Danio rerio: one gene and its partners. The protein of the gene in region 1 purifies or fractionates together with the protein of each later gene. This does not show direct contact. Links are inferred from orthologs where the notes say so. Each region holds a gene or a part of one and is shown on either strand. Other genes may lie near its edges. The genes, in order: mapk7, pfdn1, pfdn4, pfdn6, vbp1 and pfdn5.

Region 1 (4,081 bases):
AAAAAAAACATTTATAATAGTTTGGAGCAGTAAACGTGTCAGGCTGAATAATTTAAATGAGTCATTGACTTTTGCTGTCTTCATTAGTTTATATAACTCAGATTTCTTACCAATTTAAAACAGCATCTTTGGGGATTTTTCTGCTAATAATGCTGTTGTCCTAAAAAAAAAAGAAAAAACGTGAAAAAAAGACATAAATAAAAAAATCTGTATAGCAAAAATATTGGCAATTTTAAAACCTTGAGTTTTCCAAACCGCAGTATACCTTGACAATGATTATCATCCCATGCCTAATTTAGACCTATACTTAACAAACACTTGAGATATTTATCTTACTTTTCCATGCATATACAGTACAGTTTAGGCATGAACCGGTATACGATTCTGACTGTATAATAACCTTCGAAAAAGTTATCGCAGTCTCATGGTTTGGCATGGGTTGATATAAGATTCTGACAGTATAATAATAATCTTCATTAAAAATATCGCAGTTGTACCATTAGGCATGGTCCGGTGGAAAATTGTGACGGTATGATCAAGGTTACACAGTTGCACGGTAAAGTGATTACTGCTCTAAAATATGTTCTTTTTAAATATCTGGGTAAAAAAAACAATAACTTTTTCCCCCATTGAACACAATAAATTTTTTTTAAAAAAAAAACATTTTAAATATTTTGGAAGAGTAGCTTTTGATGTGGAGGGTCCTTTTCTGCTGGAGATACTGTTGCACTAAAAAAACTAAATAGAATTCTTGCAAAAAAACAAACAATAAAAAAAAGACTATTTTTTTTAAGACCATAGGATCGGTATAACAGAAAATTCTGGTGATTTAAAAACTTGACTTTTCTAAACTGTGGTAATGCTTGAAACTGGTTATCATTCCATGCATATTCACGGCATTTTGATTACTGCTCTAAAATATGTTCTTTTTAAATGTCTGGGTAAGAACTAATTTTGTCCCCTATTGAACACAATATGTTTTACTTTAAAAAAGATTTAAAATATTTTGAAACAGTAAACGTGTCAGGCTTAATAATTAAAATAAATCATTGACTTTTTTTCAATTGAACAAGGTGGAGGCGTTGGCATAATATATAGCTATATTTTTAGTCACTCAGCTTCAAATATAATTCATTTGAAGTAATAGTGTTTTATAACTCAGTGTTCATCAATAAAGTAATTATTTCAAAGCTGTATGATGATTTTTTACAAGCACTGTATACGTGTTTTTAATGTCTCTTCCCTCATGCCAGTCACAACTTACTTTTCTTTTATTTCAGGATGGCATCCAATAAGATGGATGAGACAAATAACAGTCACACAGCAGGAGAAGCCTCAGAAGGCGACAGCAGGAGAGAGAGCAACATTGAAAAGGTCCAGCAAAGAGGCGTTACAGAAGGACCAGCTCAACCCAGCAATGATACGTCCACAGTTACTGATGACACTACTGTCGCAGACAAGAACTTGGCCCTGCTCAAAGCCCACTCCCTGGATGTGAAGTTTGAAGTCGGGGATGAATATGACATTATTGAGACCATTGGTACAGGTGCATATGGTGTGGTCTCATCAGCACGAAGACGGGATAATGGTGAGTGTGCCAAGATACTTCCACAATATTATTATTATTATTTTTATTATTATTATTATCACCATCTTCAATGTATTTAGTATTCAGTATTATTGAAAGATGAAACATTTGCAGTCTATTAAAAAGTATATGTACAGTAGTCAGCATAATGGAGTACACCCCATTTTAAAAATAAGTATTTTTATCCATTTCTGTGTGAATATAGGCAATGTATTTTGGTGCATTTAAACAAAACAGATATATATATATATATATATATATATATATATATATATATATATATATATATATATATATATATATATAATATATATATATATATATATATATATATATATATTTTTTTTTTTAATAAGATTTTCACCAAACACATTTAGAAGTTGAAAGATATTACAATTAAATTGAAGCAAAATTTTCCAAAAAAAAAAAAAAAAATAACCATCAATAGGAATAAAAAAGTAGTTGTGAGTTCTTAAAGTTGTAAAGTTTGATTTCTTTATGCTTGATTCCTAATTCAAACACATTATTGTTCATGCATTCAGGCCAGCAGGTGGCAATAAAGAAGATCCCCAATGCCTTTGAGGTTGTGACGAATGCCAAACGCACGCTGCGAGAGCTCAAAATACTGAAGCACTTCAAACACGACAACATCATCGCCATTAAAGATATTCTCCAGCCCGTGGTCCCTCATTCAGCGTTCAAATCAGTGTAAGTTTGCTACCAAGTAGCATGCATGTACTCTATACAAGTTGTCCATGCAGTAATACCATCTCTTGTTCCTTAGGTACGTGGTTCTTGACCTCATGGAGAGCGACCTACATCAGATCATTCACTCGCGGCAGCCTTTGACTCCAGAACACACACGCTACTTTCTATATCAGCTGTTAAGAGGCTTGAAATACATTCATTCAGCCAACGTCATTCACCGCGACCTCAAGCCATCCAACCTGCTGGTCAATGAAAACTGCGAGCTAAAGATCGGGGACTTCGGAATGGCACGGGGATTAAGTGCGGTCTACTCTGAAGAGTCGCGGTCCTTTATGACCGAGTACGTGGCCACCCGCTGGTATCGTGCTCCTGAGCTCATGCTGTCGCTCCACCACTACAGCCTGGCCATCGACCTCTGGTCCGTAGGCTGCATCTTCGGTGAGATGCTCGGTAGGAGGCAGATGTTTCCGGGGAAAAACTACGTGCATCAGTTGCAGCTGATTCTTTCAGTTTTAGGGACGCCACCCGAAAGCATTGTTGGCTCAATTGGGTCAGATAGGGTGCGCTCTTATGTGCGGAGCCTTCCATCCAAAGCACCAGAACCGCTTGCAGCCCTGTATCCACAAGCTGAGCCCAGCGCCTTGAACTTGTTGGCTGCAATGCTCCGCTTTGACCCTCGTGAAAGAATCAGTGCATGTCAAGCACTGGAACACCCGTATCTCTCCAAGTACCACGACCCAGATGACGAACCGGTGTGCGTGCCTGCTTTCAATTTTGAGTTCGACCGGCAGCCCATGGGCAAAGAGCAAATCAAAGAAGCGATACTAACAGAGATCCAGGACTTTCATAAGAAAAAGCAGGGCGTGAGGAAGAAGATCCAGTTTAAGCCGCTCCATTCTTCTGGATCGGCCTTGGTCGGTGTTTCTAGTAACAGCCATTGCACAGCGCAACAGTCTCAACACCTGAAGGAGATGTCACAAACTCACCAGCAGCACAGTCTCAACTTCAAACCAGCAGACACTACTCAAATGAATGTAAACTCGTTTCAAACTCCACATCTTATTGGTCAAATTTTGCCACATTTGGAACAGTCGGTAAGCTGTCAGGATGTGGACATGCCCAGTGCGAACTCTGACGGCCAGCCGGAAACCATTGATCTGACCACTCCCACAGACAAGGACACGTCTTTTACTGAGCCTGCGATAGACTGCAGGAAGGATAAGAGTGTGTTATCCAATTACACTGCTCCATCTCGATCCGTCTCTCAGACTCCACCCACAAGTCTTCCACAGTCAGTCCCTTCACTCTCTCTCTCACAGTCCCAGGTGCAGTCGCTCTCTCAAAATCTCTCTCGTTCGCTTGGAAAAGGAGGAAAACCGACTGCTGCGGAAGGTACGAAAAAAGAGGGAGCAATATCTGAAGACACAAAAGCAGCTCTCAAAGCTGCCTTGCAGAAATCTGCGCTAAGACAGAAGGCACGAGGTAAGTGTGTATGTGGCCAGTCTTCAAAAATTAAACTATTAAAGCTGATTTATACTTCTGTGTCAAGTGATTGGCGTGACCCACGGCACCTGCCTTGTGCGTAGTCGTGCCTTTATACTTCTGCGTGCTGTTTGTGTTGCTCTGCTATAACACTTCTGAAACACTAGCTGGACGCTACCTTAATGTACAAGTAGGTAAAACTAGCTTATTCAGAGGTGGAAACCGGCGGGCGTGAAACAACTTTAATCATAAGGTAAACACAAAACAATAGTTTCCATCTAGAGCAGGGGTCACTCGCCTTGT
Region 2 (3,500 bases), on another chromosome or scaffold:
GGCAGACCTGCAGATCGAACAGCTGAGTCGTGTAAAGAAGCACGCAAATCTCACGCATGGAGAGATTACATCACTTCCTGAAAGCACTCGGATGTTTGAGGGAGCAGGACGGATGTATGTATAATTCTGGAGGTTTCAAATCTGGACCCTTTACTCTCTGTTGTTTTGACCTTCTCTTCCTTCCTTTATTCAGGTTTATTTTGCAGTCAAAAGGTGAGATCTCTAATCAGCTTTTGGAAAAGCAGAAGACGGCAGATGACAAGATAAAAGAGCTTGAGGTAGGTTATGAGCAAAAAAACAAATATAGTTGCTTATATTAAATCTACTTGTCCGACAAAGAACTGCTTATCAAAATACAAAGGATAGGTCACCTTATTTTAACATTTTTTACTTGCTGTTAAAAAAAATCTATGAAAGTCATAATTAAATAAGATATACACTCGGCGGCCACTTTATAAGGTACACCTTACAACTATCGGGTTGGAACCCCTTTTGCCTTCAGAACTGCTTTAATCCTCCAGGGCATAGATTCAACAAGATACTGGAAAATTTCTCAGAGGTTTTGGTTTATATACTGACATGATAGCATTATACAGTTGCTGCAGATTTGTCGGTTGCTTATCCATGATACCAATTTCCCGTGCCACCAAAGGTGCTCTGTTGGATTAAGATTGGGGGACTGTGGCCATCTGAGTAAAGTGAACTCATTGTCATGTTCAAGAAACCAGTCTGAGATGATTCATTTGACATGGCATGTTATCCTGCTGGCAGTAGCCATCAGAAGATTGGTACACTGAAGTCATAAAGGGATGGACATGGTCAGCAACAATACTCGGTCAGGCTGTGGTGTTGACATGATGCTCAATTGGTACTAATGGGCCCAAAGTGTGCGGAGAAAATATCCCCCACAACATTACACCACCACCACCAGCCTGAACTGTTGATACAAGGAAAAATAGATCCATGCTTTTATGTTTTTGATGCCAAATTCTGACCCTACCATCCAAGTGTTGCAGTGAAAATCGAGACTCATCAGACCAGGCAACATTTTTCTAATCTACATTTGCGCCCACAGAACTGCCGCTCACTGGATATTTTCTCTTTTTCGGACCATTCTTTATAAACAATAGAGATGGTTGTTTGTGGAATGCTCAGTAGATTAGGTTTCTGAAATACTCAGACCAGCACGTCTGGCACCAACAACCATGCCACGTTCAAGTAATTTAAATCACCTTTCGTCCCCATTTTGATGCTTGGTTTGAACTGCTGCAGGCTGATTAGAAAAACTTGTGATAACGAACAGTTGGATAAGTGTACCTATTAAAGTGGCCGGTGAGTATATATATATATATATATATATATATATATATATATATATATATATATATATATATATATATATATATATATATATATATATATATTTATATATAAGTATATAGAAGCTTCTGGTTTTTCTAGTCTTTTGTGTTCATCAAGAAAAAGAGATTAAAAAAAAATTGAAAGTGAGTAGATGATGCCAGAATTTTCCTTCTTTTATCATCTTAAAATTCTGAATGGATTGTAGTGTTTTTAGTATCCATCAGCTAGGAAAATGCTAATGAAAAGCATTAAATAATTAAATGCTAATGATAAACAGAACATTATCATGCATTAGTGTGGATGCAAAAGGTTTTTTTCTTTTAACAATAAAACTGTGGGTTGGGGGGGGCACGGTGGTCTCAGCAAGATGGTTGTTGGTTCGAGCCCTGAAGGTGTTTCTGTTTGCATGTGCTCTCCGTGTCTGCTTGGGTTTCCTCCACAGTCCTAAGCGTGCTGTATAGGTGAACTGAATACACTAAAATGGCCATAGAGTGTAAATAAGAGAGTGTGTAAGTGTTTCCCAGCGCTGAGGGTTGGGGATGGGCATCGGCAGGTAAAACAAATGCCAGAGTAACTGCAGTTCATTCAGTGGCGACCCCTGATAAAGCAGGAAATAAGCACATAGTTTGTACGCCACGCAGTATCAAAATCACAGCAATTATACTCTAATGTAATATCACAAGCTGCGTCACACATATAGGAGGTTTAACCTGATTGGTTAGAACACAGATAGACTTAGACAATCTCAACATGTGTGCGTAAAATTCTAAACAAAATCACCAATGATTACTTTGGCGACAAGCAAAGAAGTCTCCTCCGATGAAGAACACACACACACACACACACACACACACACACACACACACACAAAGAATGCTTATAGACTTCAAGGATGTCTTGTATCTTATCAGAATGGTACAATAAACATCTTTATACTGGCAGCTAACTAATACAAAGAAAGTCTCTCTCATACAATAGAATCTCAAAAGATTTGACAGGTTTTTGTTTTCATCAAAATCCAGTTTCATATGAGAGGTCGTAATGAATGAGCCTGAAGTTCCTGAGGAAAACGCATAACTTGGCATACAGAAATAACAACGAGACCCATATCATTCCAGTTTTACTTCAGTTTTCAGAGTTTATACTCATATTGCTTGACGCTTTTTGCAAGTTTGGCATCCTATCCTGGGAGAAAACCCTGAGCTTGGAGATGATTGAGCATGGCTCCTGCCTTGTCATTTAGCATAAATGGAGTCCAAGATTAGTTAGATCTCAAGAGCTCCCCCTGGTAAACAGAGGAAAAGGAGGAGATGGGGCGGAAGGGGTGATTCTTCCATAACAAAGATAGGGCAAGTAAGGTGAAATCAGTCTATTTATTGTAGACTTGGATCGATATGATTAGATTATCGCTGCTTACGGACGAGAGACCAGCCGCGATCAATCATATCACGTGCTCCTGTCAAAATTAGTTTATAAAATTTTACTTAACCCTATGGTCATCATATAATCTAAACATTTAGAACAAATTCAACTTTATTGATAATCATATCACAGAAAGGATCTTTTGCCAGTCCTATAGCTGTCATCATCTAGATACCCACCCTTTCAATGCAAACTTTGAGACAACCAGTCCACCCTATTATTGTAAAATGATTATTTATTTAAGCTCATCGCACACTGGATGCAAAATTCCACACCACGTCTTTTAGAATAGTAAACATTGTCATCTATGAGAGTACGCTCATCAGCGTCAAAATTTTGCCTTCTTTTCTTTTTTGTATTTCTTAACAATGTTTTGTTTTTTTTTTTTTTTTTAAAGAATACAATGTAAAGAGGGTGTGTGGAGTGTCTGGACCCCCTTTTACACTATACTTTGTTACAGCAAAAAGTATTTAGTTACTGTAATGCATTACTTTTCTAACTCATAAAGTTCTAACAATGGCAATCAAAGGTGACAGATTTTAACTAAGATCTATTATAGAAATCTTTTCCAAAGTTTGACTCAGATGACCAAATAATGGCCAAATTTACATCATAAACTCGGCTTTAGTGAGACCTGAAATGGGATTGTCAGACAAATAAGAGTGTGGGGTGGGGACTTCAGAAATTCAGAAAACGTATAAAGTGCATAAAATGTA
Region 3 (4,246 bases), on another chromosome or scaffold:
TGTCCACTTATAATCGTACTAACGCATTTTAACGAATGTAAACAAAGCGCCTGTGTTTAAACCTAACAATTTATTGTAACTTTTTTGACCTAGATTTGCAACTTTTTTTTTCAAGTCAAAAGCGTTTTAAATTTTTGTAATGGCCCACAATGACATTCCACAGTTTTTCCTGTATATTGTATTGAGTGCCCTATAAAGTGTGTAAAAAAAATAAAGTCACCTTTGCTGCCTCCAGCATCTCCTGCGTCTCTTCTTGCGAGTGACTGATAAACACGTCTCCAATCTGATACGGGATCAGCATCGAATCATCCTCACACATCATGAGGTCATCACTGGCATCCTCTAAGTTCTGTAAAGATTTCTACGCACAATAAAGATTATGCGTCAGTAAAATGCAGCTTATATCCTGTATAAATCAAAAGCATCACAATATTACCTTTTTGGCCTCGATTTCATCTTTCAGTTCAGACATCCGATTTGTGTTCCTGGCAAACTTGTTTATCTTTTGCTGGTCCTCAAATGTTACATTGACATCCTCTGCTGCCTGTTCAGAATCAGAATCAGAGCTTTATTGCCAGGTATGTTCATACATGCGAGGAGTTTATTTTCGTGACAGAAGCTTTTACAGTGCAACAGAATGAGAGAGACAGGACAAAAAACAGATAATAAATATATTTTAAAAATAGAAGTAAACTCAAGTTATGATTCAAGCAGTAGTTTTGATTAAACATTGTGCATTACTTATTATGGTTTGATTTAATTTAAATTAATTCTGGTGTTATTGCATGATGACGTAGTAAAATCTCTGTTAAATGTCAATGTACGATCTTTGGCCCCACATATTACCCAGTGTGCAAGAAGTCTCGGTGTTATGTTTGATGAAAATTTTAAATTAAAGAAAATTTAAGAATTAAAAAGAGATCAGTCCTGTCGTAAAAACCTGATTTTACCACCTTAACAACTGTCTAAAATGAAGCCATTATTATCTCAGAGAAATTTTCAAACAATGATCCATGCCTTCATAACACTGGATTACTGTAACTCACTCTATTTTGGTATTTCTCAGTCTTCTCTCTCTTGTCTGCAGCTGGTACAAAATGCAGCTGCTAGACTAATCTCTGGCACCCGCAAGTATGAGTCGGTAACTCCGATTTTAGCTGCACTTCACTAGTTACCCATTAAATACAGAATTGATTTTAAAATTTTATTATTTGTTTACAAAGCTGTCAATAGTCTTGCTCCTCAGTACCTTACAGACTTGCTCCATCCGTATACCTCCTCTCGATCATTGAGATCTTATGATCTCAATTAACTTACGTAACCAGAACATGCCTTAAAAAACAAGGTGATTGAACATTTGCAGTTGCTGGTTCTAAACTCTGGAACACCCCACCAATTCACATTAGACTTTCCCCCTCTATTTCTGTGTTTAAGTCTGTTTTGAACACCTATTTTCTCTCGCTTTAATACTCCTTGATCAATGTTTTATTGTTTTATTTTCTAAATGCTTCTTTTATATTCTGATTTCGTCTCTGTGTTTAGTACTCCTATGTACAGCCCTTGGGTCCACCTTGGTTGTTTTTAAATGTGCTTTATAAAGATGCGAACATTAAAAATGACAGGATACTCAAAAATGCTTTTCAAAAATGTAGTTGCTATGTTAACCAACACAGGCATCAGAAATCTTCATTTAAATAGGAATTCATGTCATTGTTTTGACTCCTTTACACATTTTTATAAGCGTTTCACAAGCTCTCAAATTATGAAGTTACCATCACATGGACACACACAAACACTCAGCATTGTTTTGGATGTTCGGTAAGCTCTGTCAAAAAATATGCCTTGCTAAATATGCATATTATTTGCATTTCTTTGTATCTTTAGATTTACTTTTAAAATTTTACAATATAAATGCTAAGCAAATCATAAATCTTTGATTTGAATCCTGTCATCTTGACTCTTTGTGGTTTAGACTCGATGTGATTTACACAAATATAAGTTTGCTTAGCATTTTATACATTTAAAAAAAGCTTTTTTATGTAAACTAAACTCTATATAAAAGAACAAAATAAACAACCCAATATACAAGTTGTTAATCTGGTCAATCTATAAGAAATATTTAAGAATGACAATACAATTATGTGATTTAAAACCACCTAAATTTAAATGTAGATAGATAGATAGATAGATAGATAGATAGATAGATAGATAGATAGATAGATAGATAGATAGATAGATAGATAGATAGATAGATAGATAGATAGATTGGTGCAGAACGATGAACGTAAATGTAAATAATTACAATAAAACTCATTAACAGACAGGCACGAATAATATGACGTTAGCCATCCAAGCCGGTGAAAATAAACAATAAACCGTCCTCAGTTTCCCTCAGCTGTCTCTTTCGTTTAATATTTTAGATATTTCAGCATCACCAACGCGTTTCTCAGGGATGAGCAACAAAACAACGTGAATGTAGACAGAAAGCCGATAATGGGAACACATACCACTCCTTTCTTCATGGTGGCTGCCATCTTGAACGGGAAGCGAGCTGCGTGCACGCGCCTGAACGGCGTCTGAATGGAGCACGTGGATGTTTGAGTGTTTGTTGCGTGTTTCGGTTGCTGCTTCGAAAATATGGTACGTTTGACAAAGAAATTATGAAGTTTTATGTTTGAATCTAAATTACTGGCTTAACTAAATGCGTTTTGAAGTCGGTTTTCTTAAAATTATCCGCTGTTGCAAGGATTTTGGGCTGCAGCCATACAGACTTGAGGATTTTAGTTAGCAACACTTACTGACATCTTCTGGACAACCGTAGATTTACTCCCACACAAACATACTTTTGATGATTTAAATGTCGAATTCGCATGTTATATCATATATATGGGTGTTTACATTGGAAATGGAAGTGTAAAATGCGTTTTTTCCTTATTTTGTTTCGTTTTCTATTAAATATATAATATTAACATTAAAGTATGTTTAATATAGATAACGTTAGCTGTTTACTTAAGAAACAACGTTGTCTTGGCAATAAGTCTTTGAGAAGCTTTTCTTGGAAGAAAAATCTAAATGAAGCGAGTTTTTAGTTAAAAGCAAAAATAACTAATAGTTGTCTCTAAAGCAATGGATGGCCAAACTTTTCGTATAAAGGGCCAAAAATCAAATACCGTCACGCGCCATGAATATGTATGAACAAATATACCAAACTATATTACATTTAAATTGACTTGGATAATTAATTTCCTAATTCATTTTATAATATTTTAAAATAAATAGAAAACATCACTTTAAATCCTATTAACTAATGCAGAATAACATTTTAATTGATAATTTATTGCAATAAAAATTAACAATCTCTTTAGAAGTTCAATGCTGAATACTCTAGTCACTAGTCTTTGACTTGATTTGCTCACCTAAGTCTCTACATTATCAGATGACAATGTGTACATTTAAACAAAATCTGATTTAATTTACACAATTTAATTGAAACACTTAATTTCAATTAGCTTTTAACAATAAAAACTAGCAAAGGGCTACATTAAATTTAAACTGACAACCTCAAAACCATCCCCATCATTCTCCATCTCTTCTCAGATGGGATGACGGGACAAATCAAAGCTTAACATGTTCTAACTTTGGCCCACATTCCCTAGTTTTTGCATCTCTGCTATAAAGTAAATAATTATCCTAATTCTTATTTGAAATAACTATAATTTTAAAGGCTAGGTTATTTTTTGAAACTTAAACTCACAAAATTTTTAAACAGTACACGGCCAACTTAATAACAAACTATGCAATTGAGGAATATTTAATAGCCTATTTATAAAGGAATTATGAGAAATCATGGGTTGAATTAAAATGTACTTTTTTGTCCCTTTATATCTAGATTTATCCATGTCTAAGAACAAATAAATTTTTATACAGTTGAGATCAGAATTATTAGCCCCCCTTTGATTTTTTTTTATTTTTATTTTTTTTTTATTTTCCAAATGATGTTTAACAGAGCAAAGAAATTTTCACAGTATGTCTGATAATATTTTTTCTTCTGGAGAAAGTCTTATTTGTTTTATTTTGACTAGAATAAAAGCAGTTTTAAGTTTTTAAGCACCATTTTAAGGATACAATTATTATCCCCTTTTGGTTATTTTTTCCGATAGTCTACACAGAACAAACCATCATTTTACAATAGCCTAGCCATCATTTGCCTAATTGCCCTAGCCTGCTTAGTTAACCTAATTAACCT
Region 4 (4,176 bases), on another chromosome or scaffold:
TCATTTTTACACTATATCTCACACTTTTTGGATAATGTTTTCTGAAAAATATGAATACATGATATGTCTGTTATTTTAAAAAGAAATCAAACACATTAAAGTGAAAGTTTACACAAGTACAATACACTGGTCTGTTTTATAATATGTAGTAATATTATAATTTTGCCTTTCATTAAATATTTTAATTTTAAAATATTTGAGCAATCATGAGACATTAAAATCAAAGCAATTACATATTTTCTATTATCAATAAAATCTATTTTTAATTTAAAATCTAAAGCTTATAATAAGCTACAGTATTATCATTACTGGGCAGCATGGTGGCGCAGTGGGCAGCGCAGTCGCCTCACAGCAAGAAAGTCGCTGATTCAAGCCTCGGCTGGGTCAGTAGGTGAACTGGGTGAGCTAAATTGTTTGTAATGTATGTGTGTGAATGATTGTGTATAGTTTACTAGTGATGGGTTACAGATAGAAGGGCATTCGCTGTGTAAAACGTGCTGGATAAGTTAGCGGTTCATTCCGCTATGGCAACCCCAAATTAATAAAGGGACTAAGCCGAAAAAAATGATGAATGATTTATCATTACTGAAAGTTTTAAAGGTTGATATTGTTTTTATTTCATTCATTTTCTTGTGGGCTTAGTCCCTTTATTCATCCAGGGTCGCCACAGCGGAATGAACCGCCAACTTACCCAGCAAGTTTTTACGCAGCAGATGCCCTTCCAGCCGCAACCCATCTCGGGGAAATGTTTATATTTAATGTTATTTTATTTATATATATTTAATATATATATATATATATATATATATATATATATATATATATATATATATATATATATATATATATATTATCACTAAATTAAATAAAAACAACATCAACATCAACATCAAAGTATGTTGTATACTGTAAACTCGCAGACTTTTTTCGTCACATCCATAACACATGTTTATTTATTTATTTAAAATGTATTTAATTTTTTAAAAATTTACAGATTGATTTTTTCTGCTCCCATGACTCTGTGGTTGGTAGCTTCTCTGGGAATTCATGTTTTGAAATGTGTGTATATGTATGTATATGTATGTATGTATGTATGCATGCATGCATGCATGCATGCATGCATGTATGTATATATATATATATATATATATATATATATATATATATATATATATATATATATATATATACATACACACACACATACATACATACATATATACATACATACATATATACATACATACATATATATATGCATTATTTGGTATATGTTTTTTGAACAATCATGATTTATAAAATCTCAAATTAATTATATTTATTCTAATTTAGTTAAAACTTTTTATTTATTCAAAGATATGTTGCAGGAAATGTGCAAGTGTACACTGGTATAACTTGGCTATATGAATATTCATAATGGTGTTACTATAAATACCAAGAAACTTACACAATGAATCATAAAATAAAATAAAATAGTAAAAGCCTTTTTAAAACGTTCAATAATGAGAATTTGTAGATTGAATGTGGATTTTGTCTAAAATAGCTCTGGGTAGCTAAATCAAGTCCAAATACAACATAACCGTGACATTTGTACTTTATCAGTGCATTGCACTACATAGATATTAAACCTGAATACAACAAATTACTACAAATACGTTAAATATAAATTATTAAAGGAGCACACACATACATATATACACACACATACATACATACATATATACATACATACATATATATATGCATTATTTGGTATATGTTTTTTGAACAATCATGATTTATAAAATCTCAAATTAATTATATTTATTCTAATTTAGTTAAAACTTTTTATTTATTCAAAGATATGTTGCAGGAAATGTGCAAGTGTACACTGGTATAACTTGGCTATATGAATATTCATAATGGTGTTACTATAAATACCAAGAAACTTACACAATGAATCATAAAATAAAATAAAATAGTAAAAGCCTTTTTAAAACGTTCAATAATGAGAATTTGTAGATTGAATGTGGATTTTGTCTAAAATAGCTCTGGGTAGCTAAATCAAGTCCAAATACAACATAACCGTGACATTTGTACTTTATCAGTGCATTGCACTACATAGATATTAAACCTGAATACAACAAATTACTACAAATACGTTAAATATAAATTATTAAAGGAGCCGAACATAAAGATGATTGAGGTAAAGTTGGTTTTATATTCGCACATTCGTTCAGTGAAAACTTGTGACATCCCTACATTGTTTACCATGGTGATTTTGATAGTCAATGGCTGCTAATATGATTTTACCATTTAGAATTGACAAAAATACTTTAATAAGATTTTTAGAGAGAAAGCCAATTTACACAATGAGGTAAAGTTGGTTTTATATTTACACATTCAGACTTTCTCCTATTAAAAATTCCGAAAAGTATTCTGTAGTTAGCAAATCCTAAATAGTGAAACCATATTAGCAGACGATGGCTATCAAATTACACCATTATTCAGTCAAATAAATAGTGATAACGTTAATGTAGTCTTATTTACATGTGATTTCAGACCGAATATTCAAAGTACCATGGTAAACAATATAGGGAGCATGCCACACATTGTCACTGAACGAATGTGCGAATATAAAACCAACTTTGCCTCAATATAAAGATGCCCATGCAGGGAGTGTTGGATTGCTAACTCTGAGCTTTTCGTGCTGTAAGTTACCTTTCTGGAGTTGTTGATATTTCTCCAACTCAGCTTGCAATTTCTTCTGAATCGCTTCAGCCATCACACCTGCTATTCCAATGTCTGACTTATTATTATTGCTAAATAATAAAAATCACGATATTTTATGACAAATGCAGACAGTCAGCAGCACACTACTCAAGCACACAGTCTGAGGCGCACGGGAAATGACGTCATATCATTGCGTCACATGGGGGTTTTACGATAGCTGATAAAAAGAGTTACTTCGCCATCTAGTGTTTAAGAAAAACATACACAATTTTTTTCAGTATTATGTTTATTCACACACCTTTAAATAATTTGCTCTATAATTTTACGCACCATATGTAGATTTAACGCATCAGTTAATGTGATTTTTGGATTAATACGATGGGTACAATTTTTCCAGTATCTAAAAGCGTAGTGCCTCTCCTGTCCATGTGGTGTCAGTCTATCCTCTTCCTCCAAGCCCTCTGTAGTGACAGTCAAGGCAATATGGCAGCGCGCATGGTTCAAATTCTAACGTGAAGGTCTTTTTTCGGGTGTGCGCGACCACATAGAATCACAACAGCAGGTAAAGTCAGTTATATATTTTTTCTATAACACAAGCAAATGTAATGACTGTTCTAAATCTGCACCTTAAGCAGCGTTTTAAACATATGTAGGGTAAAATAGTATCATGTGCTATATTCATCTATTACGAGAATGAACCATGGTTTAAAGAGTTAAGTGTAATCATACTTTTTTTGTCGTATCGATTGTTATTTATAACCACAGTATTACTGAAAGTACTACAGTTTAGCTGGGGTTAGTGTAACAAAACCATGTTGATTTGAGGTTACCATGGTTAGTTTTTGTGGTAAAACCATGGTTAATTTTCGTAATAGATGTCATGATGTTTTAACTTTATCGATATTTGCTAGTAACGTTATTCTTCTTCTTGTGATTCTTCAAAACTTTTTTTATTTTTTTCAATAAAAAAATCAAATTTTCTAAGATGACAAACAAACAAACAACCATTAACCACCATTTAACCATAGTATCTGTGGTAAACCTGTAACGTTAGTTACACTAATAATATGTCTGTCAAAACACGCGCACACACACACTTCCCTTGGTTCAATTTCATAAGGGCAGGAATGAAATAATAGAATAAAACATAAATAATTCATAAATTCTATTGTTTTGTCAGGCAGTCATTTTGAGTGTGGCTATTTTTGCTTTTTTCTATAATGAACCTGATATCTTTGCTGTGAGTTGAATGTGTATTATGAAATGTGTTCATGGTTTTAGAGTTATGACAGAGGTTGTCACTTTGTAAAATTCATATAAAACATTTGTATGATGATTAGTCCTCTGAACCTGCAATTTTAGTTGAAGAAATCACTTTTTTTGGACACTTTAATCTCAGTTGTTTTGATTATGCTTGTTACTTGTGGGAGCGACACAGTAGTTTGTGTCGACACACCAATGTTT
Region 5 (4,099 bases), on another chromosome or scaffold:
AACATTGGAGTATTCTTTTGACTTGTTTTTTAAAAAAATAACACACACACACACACACACACATAAACACAAACCAAAGTATATGCTGCACATTTCAGTATTCACATATTTTGTTTTACTGTAAGAAACTGAAAATTACCAATAAAAATATGAATTATTATCTTTTTAAAATAAGCTGGTTTCACCCTCTATTCTAAAGAGGGTGGAATGTGCTTCTGTTTAATTAATCTGCATGTATTTTGGCTAGTTTCCACATTCTTTAATGCAATTTACCCTAAATATACTGCATTTTTGACTTAGGCTCATTCATTCACTGACTAATTTTCTTAGCTTAGTCCTTAAATCCATCAGTGGTCACCACAGCAGAATGAACAGCCAACTTATCCAGCATATAATTCACACAGCGGATGCCCTTCCAGCTGCAACCCAGTAGGCAACTGGGAAACATCCATACACATTCATTCACACACATACACTACGGCCAATTTAGTTTATTCAATTCACTTAGCACATGTCTTTGGACTGTTTGGGGGAAACCGGAGCACCCGGAGGAAACCCACACAAACACAGGCAGAACATGCAAACTCCACACAGAAATCCCAGCCGGAATTTCGAACCAGTGACCTTCTTGCTCTTAGACAACAGTGCTAACCACTGAGCCACCGTGTCGCCCTTGCCTTAATCTGTTTTATATTTGTTTCTCTTCTGCTTTTATTTACAATCATTTTTAAATATGAATTATAATGTGACACTGTATGTGTGATATAAGTGCATATATAGGCCTATTTAATAAAACACATCTAATAAGGTGCTATTCTTGCCCTGCTACTTACTTTCACCTAAAGATCCACATGCAGACAAAGAAAGCCTGTACTGAAGCTGACAGTAACATTAGTAAGCAGAACAGACAGACTCAATAATAATATTATGAAAAATCAAACTGAAGACTAAGAGCCAATGTATTTATCTGTTTTTTCATATCACCGCAAATGTATTGGATCAAACCTCTGGCTTGCCACCAACTGCTGTCGTCACGGCCAGCGCCTCGTGCTATTTCTCATGTCAATCAGGCAACACTGACATCTGCCGGTCGGTTTGATAAATGTCGGATATTATTAAAAAACATACGTTAACAAAGACAGATGGACTACATTTGAATTTAAATATGATATAAAAAGAAATTAATGACAAAATGGCCAGATGAAATCATCACCTGCTCATTGTTATAAGAAGAAGAAAGTCACTTTTATTATGCACGCGGCGCCCGTGCGTAAGAACAGCGTGCGCGTGCGTCAAAGAGGAAGAGTCGTAAGTCTCTCCAAAATGGCGACGACCATAGAAAGTGGCAATGCAGGAGCTGCAAATAAGAAAAAACACCTCGGAATCCCTGAAGCAATATTTGTGGTCAGTGCGAAAGGGATATATAGTTAATTTTCATGTCCATGCTGTCGACATGTTTCTGTCTGTGTTGGTTTGTTCGTCTTTAAACGGCTTTAAGTAAGAAAGCGCCTTGTTCTTCTCCTTATAAGGGTGCAGGGATTGCTTGCTCATGTCTTGAATGTGAGCTTTGAGTGACAGAGAACATGTGAATAACTGGCTCTCAAAAACCGCTTTGTTAATTATAAGCCTTAATTAACCAGATGTGAAACACATTGTGTGTTCTGTAGGAAGATGTGGACGCCTTCATGAAGCAGCCGGGCAATGACACAGCAGACGCCGTGCTGAGGAAGCTGGATGAACAATATCAGAAATATAAATACATGGAGCTCAATCTGGGGCAGAAGAAACTCAGGTTTGGTTTTGATCTGTTCTACGTTGTGCTGTAAAAAGAAGTCAATCTTTCAGTCACAAATTACAATAAGATTTCATTGGGTAATGTATTTACTGACACAACCAATGATTAACAACACTTGCACAGCATTTATTGATCATAGTTCTACATAAATGTACTAATGCATCAATAACATCCAAATTTATGCTTAATATTAGTTAATGTATCGTGAGTTAACATGAACTAACAATGAACAACTGTATTTTCATGAACTACTGTTAACGAACATCTAATACTGTCATAAATGTATGTTTCATTGTTTGTTTATGTTAGTATATGCATTAACTAATAAAACCTTACTGTAAAGTGCTCTGGATAGCATGCGTATATGTGGCTACAAGTTGTTTTTGCAGACTATAATTGTTGACATTTTTTCCCTCTGTTTCAGGTTGAAAAGCCAAATTCCACAAATCAAACAGACATTAGAAATCCTACGGCACATGCAGAAAAAGAAGGTAAGCTCATTTCTTAATTAATGGTGATTTAAAAAGAAAATTTGTCTCAAAATTGCTTCACAGAAACAAATCAAAGTTCAGTCTAAAATTACTTAAAATGATTTCTCAAAGTTATTTACTGCTTTTAGGATTTCTTTCATGTACTCCTTGTGAGAAGTATATATATATATATATATATATATATATATATATATATATATATTTATATATATACTTTTTTTAATAAATGTATATAAATATTTTTTTTGTAGTGTGTTGCAGAAGAGCAGTCACATATTAGATCACGTGTCATAATTGTGTCTTTAACATACACATAAATGTGTCTATTCATCATAAACTGGCCTGTCAATCAGCCTGTCATTTAAAGTCAGTCTTTTTCTCTATACATGTTATAGATCTTTTTGTGCTCTTTTGCTTCTAGGGCTGTGTAATTGAGGGGAAAAATGAACATTTCAATATTTTATTTTTCATCTTTGTAAACAAATGATCTTAATACAATAAATCATATAAGCATAATTAAGGTGATTTTGTTTTTTAATATTATAATATTAACAGAGGTTTTTTAATATTATAATCAAAAACAAATTATTACAATACAGTAAGATAGTTATGAAATTCGCCCTAAAATTACATTTTAAATGATAAATTTTTGAGATGCAGCAAGTGTATTGTTCTGCTTCACCAGAATTCCTCTTTATTTATTTTTATTTATGCATATCAAATCAAAGGACACCACAGATCCCATGGAGACACATTTTCTGTTGGCTGATAACGTCTACTGCAAGGCCTCTGTTCCACCTACAGATAAAGTGTGCTTGTGGCTTGGGGTAAGTGTTGAATGTTGAGTCCTGATGCATTTGATGTGAGCATGAAATCAAAATAATTATTATCTATCAAGATAATTATCTTTTAATTTAATGGTTTATTATAAGACCAAGTGTGGTACTGATTTTTGTTTTTTTACTACCCTGTGTCACTGCATTACATTATGAGCTGTGAAATCCTTGTTGTGTTGACTAAAACAACTGCTTTAAAAAGCATGTGTGAAAGTGTTGACGATCATTGCCTTTGTTTTGCTCTTTTGTACTGCTTATGAACTCATGAAACCTCTTCATCACTTGTAGCGTACCGGGTTCCCACATGTCTTAAAATTACTAGAATTTTATAATGTTTATTCCAGATATTGTCAGTAGGGATGTAACGATATTAAAACCGACCCGAAATATCACAATACACCAACCACGATACGTATCTTGAAACTCGTGGCATACCGCGATATTCTTATGCCCCCTGCTGCCCATTGTTGAGGTTGACATCACTTGTCTCTAACTAATTGAACCAATTTAAACATATTTATCACATTTGATTAAATTGTTTTAGTAATGATGAGCTTTTGTTTTAAATATTATATTCTTAAGTTAGTATTTTCCAAGTGCATGTCATGTGATGTGACTTAAGAAAGCATCACACTCAGTTACTACTGTATGCAGGATGGCTGCTTCACACAGTACTGAGATTCCAGATCCCCCAGACACATTTAAGTCATCTGTGTGGGAACATTTTGGTTTTCCAGTGGAGTACTGGAATGGAATTTGTGTCGTAGACAAAGCACACGTCTATCTATCGTAACTGTTTCACAACTTACACAAAACCTCACAATGTGAGGGTGTAAGCAACAGAACTGCCAACTAAAGTGATTTAATCTACAAAAGTGAAACCAGAAAAATGCCCAAATATATACAAAAAAGAGAAATATTTACACTAATAAAAATAATATAATAAAGTAGCAAATTCAAACAAAGGATCAAACAAA
Region 6 (4,145 bases), on another chromosome or scaffold:
TTTAAGAAATATATAGATAAATAAAACTTATGCAATCTGCACTCCGAAATAAGTACAAAGACTGCCACCTGGTGGTTCAAAGAGAAAATGTATTGATATGAACTTTTTAAATACAATGCAAATGCACAATATTCAACTTTTTTAAAAAAAGGATACTGATTTATGCAGTCATGCACATGTTGTGATCGCCAATATGCCGGTGATATGTTGCTTCACAAAAGTTGCAGACACCTTCACCTTTATCAAAATGCTTTTTTGATGGAAAATTAATTCATACAGTTATTCCTTACTCCAATTAAAAAAAACTTGAGTAGGCCTAAGCTACTATAATAAAGAAAATCTTCTCTAAATGTAGAACTAAATACATTGATATGCTTTAAAATACATAATGAATACTCTTGACACATGAAAGTGTTAAGCCTGCAGCTCACAACAAACCGTTTACTGCTTGTTTGATGTAATTTTGCTCACATGGATAATTGAATATTATTCAGATGATGTCATTACGCTGCTGTGCCGTCAGCCAATCGTTGCATTGCTGATCATGATTTCGAGGATCGATGGATCTGTCCTTCACAACACATGCAGCGATCTCAGATCAGTTTATCCAGACATTCTAATCGGATTCGCAAACTTGTTTGAAGAACCAAATTAGCCAGAGATCAGTTATCAAGATGAAAAGATCCAGGATCTGCCAAATCATCTTATATCATTTAAGCGAGGTACGAAGAACGGACCCCAGATCTATTTTCAGTTGTTAGACACCCACATGAAAATATACGACAGTAATCTATAGTAAATAAAATTGTGATTTTTAACCATACTGACATCTCCAATAGATAGAGATGTTGCACAAACACCTAAAATATTGCCAGAATTGGTCTTTATGTATGTGTGATTTATATTGCATCACCAAAAATGATTGAGGTCATGTCCATGTGTTGTACGCTCAGTCGTTATATTGATTATTGTGACAGGCTTACTTGAAAATAGTGAAAAAAGAAATACAATAAAAATGTACTGTATTTTTATCAGCTATGGTGAACATAAGAAACATGTTTTTCAAAAGACAAGAAAATCACCTTGTTTCATGGCATATTTTTCTTGAAGAGCAGGCTGAATCTTTTCAATTTGTTTAGTAAGGAAGTCGATTTTGCGTTTAAAGAACTCTTTGCCGTCCTCTACATTCTGAAAAGACAGAAAAGGCAATGTGATTTACTCAGTTTTGACATTTTTACATATACTAAAACTACTAGACTGATTCTTACTCACCTTCTCCACAAAATAACCTGTTCCCACATCCACTAACACATGATCCACATCATGCAGCTTTCCAGGTACATACATCTACATGACTGAGGTTAAGGGAATAACGGACCACTGCAAATTAATTACACACACATCAAACTGTCTGTGTGACTTTCTTATGTGGCATAAATCAATCAGAACTCATTTATAACTCAGCTGTTTAGAGGATACAGAACTGGTGAGAGGGACGAGTAGTTCTTTACCTGAGAGAAAAAGTAAAAAAAAATTAGCAAACGTCAGATTTAGCTAAAAACGTCATAAAAGAGTTTTAAAAGTCACCTTCATTGCTCTTGTTAAGCACATTCAAACTGTCTTTGGCCTCCACATATTTTGTTTGGACGACTTTCAGCTGAGCTATAGACGATGACAGGAACTCTGTTTCCTAGAAAACACATTTTTAAGCAATTTATACAAAATAACGTGTAAATCTACCTTGAGATGTCCCTTTTTGGTGTCTCAAAGTAAATTAACATTATTGCATTTATATTCACAGAAAGCACACTGAACGCAAGCAAAGTGTTAACTTAAATGTTTCAAATAACTTTTGTAAAAATAAAATCAAAAAATGAGTGAAAATCTATCAAATAATTAACAATAATAATAATTTAGGAAATAATGTCAGGGTAATTCAGAGCAACATATATATTTATTTAAAAATGGGAAAAACATAGTACTTATTCTGTACTAGGTATGGGGCGATAACTGTTTGCAAGGTAAACCGGCAAGGTTTGGAATAGTCAAGGTTTTAAACCTTAAAAGTAAAAATTAGTAAAATAAAGGGTTTGAAGGATAGTGACAAATTATGCATGTTTAAAAAAAGAAAAATAATTAGAATTTGGGAGCTACAGTTCAACCTTTAAATAGTTAAATGCCATCAAAATAATCTTGGTCTAAAAATATGGCTGCCCAGAATTTTTAATATATATAAACTATTGTTATGACATTTTTGTTGGGGTCTTCTGTAAAATACAGTAAAATAAATATGACGGTCAAAATAAAACAGATAATCAGGACACATGTAAACTTCAAAAGTTTACTCACAGAAAAACAAAATTAGTCTTTTAAATTAATCTTATACAGATTATAGACTTGGTACCAAAATATATTTCAAACTGTGAACTCGTTAAAATAAAACCAAGTTGTGTTTAGTGAGAACTGACTGAGACACCATTCACATACAATGCAAGTGAACGTCGATAAAGTCATTCTGCATCTCATTTTCTGTCATACGGAATAAATGCAGCCATGTGGACAATCATAGAGGGCTTTTTTTCCGCATTACCAGCAGCAGCAGCACGCGCACAGACAGCATGACAACCGCAGCCCGTCAGTAAATTAATTCACTGACAGAAAAACAGCAGCACCTGATGCTACTCGGACATACGAAACGATGATGTTTTTTATTTTTAACACAATTTACCTGATCAAGCTGAGTTTTCAAGCCTTCTAATTGTGGAAGAGACAATTCAGTGAGATTCACCGCCATGTTGACAATAAAAGAGGGTGAGGAAAACTTCCGGGTCAAGCGGACGCAACTAAAAGGACTTTTACCATTGATTTTTTTCCATTACACACTACAGTCATTTGTTATACTTTAACAAATAAAACGTCGACTAAATAAACTAACAGTGCATTTATACAGCATGTATTAACATTACCTTAAAAAAAAAGGGAGATGACCAGCTAAAACCAGCTTGACCAGCCTAGCCAAGCTGGGAGTCCAGCCAAAACCAGCTATATCCAGCTTAAACCAGGCTGGGCAAGCTGGTTTTAGTTGGATTTGGCTGGTCATTTTCCAGCCTGACCAGCTAAGACCAGGCTGGAAATGGCTGGAAACTAGCCTGGAAATGGCCAAAACCCCTCTAAAACCAGGCTGGTCAACTGATTTTTCAGTAGGGAATGTATTTGATTAGTATGTAAACATGAGTAAATCCTTATTAATCAATTAACAAACTATTCATTGTCAATGCATGTGGTGCACAAATTTCAACTATTTTAAGCCTCATTGTTAAGTATTAGAATAGGTTTGTATTTCAGTAGACATTGAACACTAAAAATACACACCAGTTAAAAAGTGAAGAAAATGTACACAGCTCAAATCCTTATAAAGCTCATGGGCATTCATTAATGTTTGTGTGTGTATGTGTGTGTTTGCCTTTATGTGTTTGGTATTGTCCTGAGTTTTCTCCAACAGGAGTAGTGTGTATTTTACAAAAGCAGAAAATCTCATCTGAAACACTAACTCATGACAGGAAGTCCGTAACACTTGTTTAAATTAATATTTCATTTTTTCAGATTCACCATTAAACCTGGCCGTTCAGCACATAAGAATCACATCAGATCAGGTACGTCAGATATTTGTACGTCTCTGAAAACGCTGTCCCTGACATTTTGAAGACTTATGGGAACACCGATTTCAGTGTTTACAGTCCTTGTTGCCTGTCGGTTTATCCATCAGTCTGCAGTGACAGATGACCAATTCATGTTTTTCCTCCATGTGTACTCCTTTACTAGCACATCCCTCATTTCAGTTAACCCCTGTGTGCTGTTGAGGGTGTTTTCATCCACTCTGGGGTGATTTTGTGTCTTCATTTGGTCAACTTTTTCTGTTTCAACTAGCAGAACGACTTTGGCGACAAATTTAATTTTGACACGTTTTTGGAAAATGCTTTGACATTTTTAAAGAACTTAACGATACACTCTGGGCAATTTTGCTACCCTTTTGTTATGTTTGGGATGAAAACCTCCACTAATTTAAACTGCTGTAAAAATGCATCAGATAAATATGTTTTCCCATAAATCTGTTAATCAACCTCAGTCCCGATCAAAACTACTAA

Evidence for each region.
Region 2: the proteins of mapk7 (region 1) and pfdn1 purify together in Homo sapiens (affinity purification with mass spectrometry; 3 studies listed by BioGRID and IntAct, with this or other methods). This does not show direct contact. The link is inferred for Danio rerio from reciprocal best matches to the Homo sapiens genes MAPK7 and PFDN1.
Region 3: the proteins of mapk7 (region 1) and pfdn4 purify together in Homo sapiens (affinity purification with mass spectrometry; 3 studies listed by BioGRID and IntAct, with this or other methods). This does not show direct contact. The link is inferred for Danio rerio from reciprocal best matches to the Homo sapiens genes MAPK7 and PFDN4.
Region 4: the proteins of mapk7 (region 1) and pfdn6 purify together in Homo sapiens (affinity purification with mass spectrometry; 3 studies listed by BioGRID and IntAct, with this or other methods). This does not show direct contact. The link is inferred for Danio rerio from reciprocal best matches to the Homo sapiens genes MAPK7 and PFDN6.
Region 5: the proteins of mapk7 (region 1) and vbp1 purify together in Homo sapiens (affinity purification with mass spectrometry; 3 studies listed by BioGRID and IntAct, with this or other methods). This does not show direct contact. The link is inferred for Danio rerio from reciprocal best matches to the Homo sapiens genes MAPK7 and VBP1.
Region 6: the proteins of mapk7 (region 1) and pfdn5 purify together in Homo sapiens (affinity purification with mass spectrometry; 3 studies listed by BioGRID and IntAct, with this or other methods). This does not show direct contact. The link is inferred for Danio rerio from reciprocal best matches to the Homo sapiens genes MAPK7 and PFDN5.

The regions. Positions count from the first base shown.
Region 1 is NC_133187.1:4,710,395-4,714,475, forward strand, and holds the start of mapk7 (mitogen-activated protein kinase 7), read left to right. Parts: upstream 1-1,281; coding exon 1,282-1,588; intron 1,589-2,130; coding exon 2,131-2,296; intron 2,297-2,372; coding exon 2,373-3,210; coding exon of another isoform or gene 3,211-3,387; coding exon 3,388-3,778; intron 3,779-4,081. UniProt on the Homo sapiens protein: Plays a role in various cellular processes such as proliferation, differentiation and cell survival. The upstream activator of MAPK7 is the MAPK kinase MAP2K5.
Region 2 is NC_133196.1:32,808,144-32,811,643, reverse strand, and holds part of pfdn1 (prefoldin subunit 1), read left to right. Parts: coding exon 1-114; intron 115-193; coding exon 194-278; intron 279-3,500. UniProt on the Homo sapiens protein: Binds specifically to cytosolic chaperonin (c-CPN) and transfers target proteins to it. Binds to nascent polypeptide chain and promotes folding in an environment in which there are many competing pathways for nonnative proteins.
Region 3 is NC_133198.1:41,423,389-41,427,634, forward strand, and holds the start of pfdn4 (prefoldin subunit 4), read right to left. Parts: upstream 2,801-4,246; 5' UTR 2,535-2,800; coding exon 2,508-2,534; exon of another isoform or gene 2,504-2,507; intron 545-2,503; coding exon 437-544; intron 362-436; coding exon 221-361; exon of another isoform or gene 1-220. UniProt on the Homo sapiens protein: Binds specifically to cytosolic chaperonin (c-CPN) and transfers target proteins to it. Binds to nascent polypeptide chain and promotes folding in an environment in which there are many competing pathways for nonnative proteins.
Region 4 is NC_133189.1:35,060,256-35,064,431, forward strand, and holds the start of pfdn6 (prefoldin subunit 6), read right to left. Parts: upstream 2,801-4,176; 5' UTR 2,765-2,800; coding exon 2,701-2,764; intron 1-2,700. UniProt on the Homo sapiens protein: Binds specifically to cytosolic chaperonin (c-CPN) and transfers target proteins to it. Binds to nascent polypeptide chain and promotes folding in an environment in which there are many competing pathways for nonnative proteins.
Region 5 is NC_133182.1:23,876,034-23,880,132, reverse strand, and holds the start of vbp1 (prefoldin subunit 3), read left to right. Parts: upstream 1-1,299; 5' UTR 1,300-1,323; coding exon 1,324-1,404; intron 1,405-1,667; coding exon 1,668-1,792; intron 1,793-2,219; coding exon 2,220-2,286; intron 2,287-3,014; coding exon 3,015-3,113; intron 3,114-4,099. UniProt on the Homo sapiens protein: Binds specifically to cytosolic chaperonin (c-CPN) and transfers target proteins to it. Binds to nascent polypeptide chain and promotes folding in an environment in which there are many competing pathways for nonnative proteins.
Region 6 is NC_133181.1:42,215,187-42,219,331, forward strand, and holds the start of pfdn5 (prefoldin subunit 5), read right to left. Parts: upstream 2,801-4,145; 5' UTR 2,795-2,800; coding exon 2,729-2,794; intron 1,691-2,728; coding exon 1,588-1,690; intron 1,512-1,587; coding exon 1,480-1,511; intron 1,348-1,479; coding exon 1,273-1,347; intron 1,189-1,272; coding exon 1,083-1,188; intron 1-1,082. UniProt on the Homo sapiens protein: Binds specifically to cytosolic chaperonin (c-CPN) and transfers target proteins to it. Binds to nascent polypeptide chain and promotes folding in an environment in which there are many competing pathways for nonnative proteins.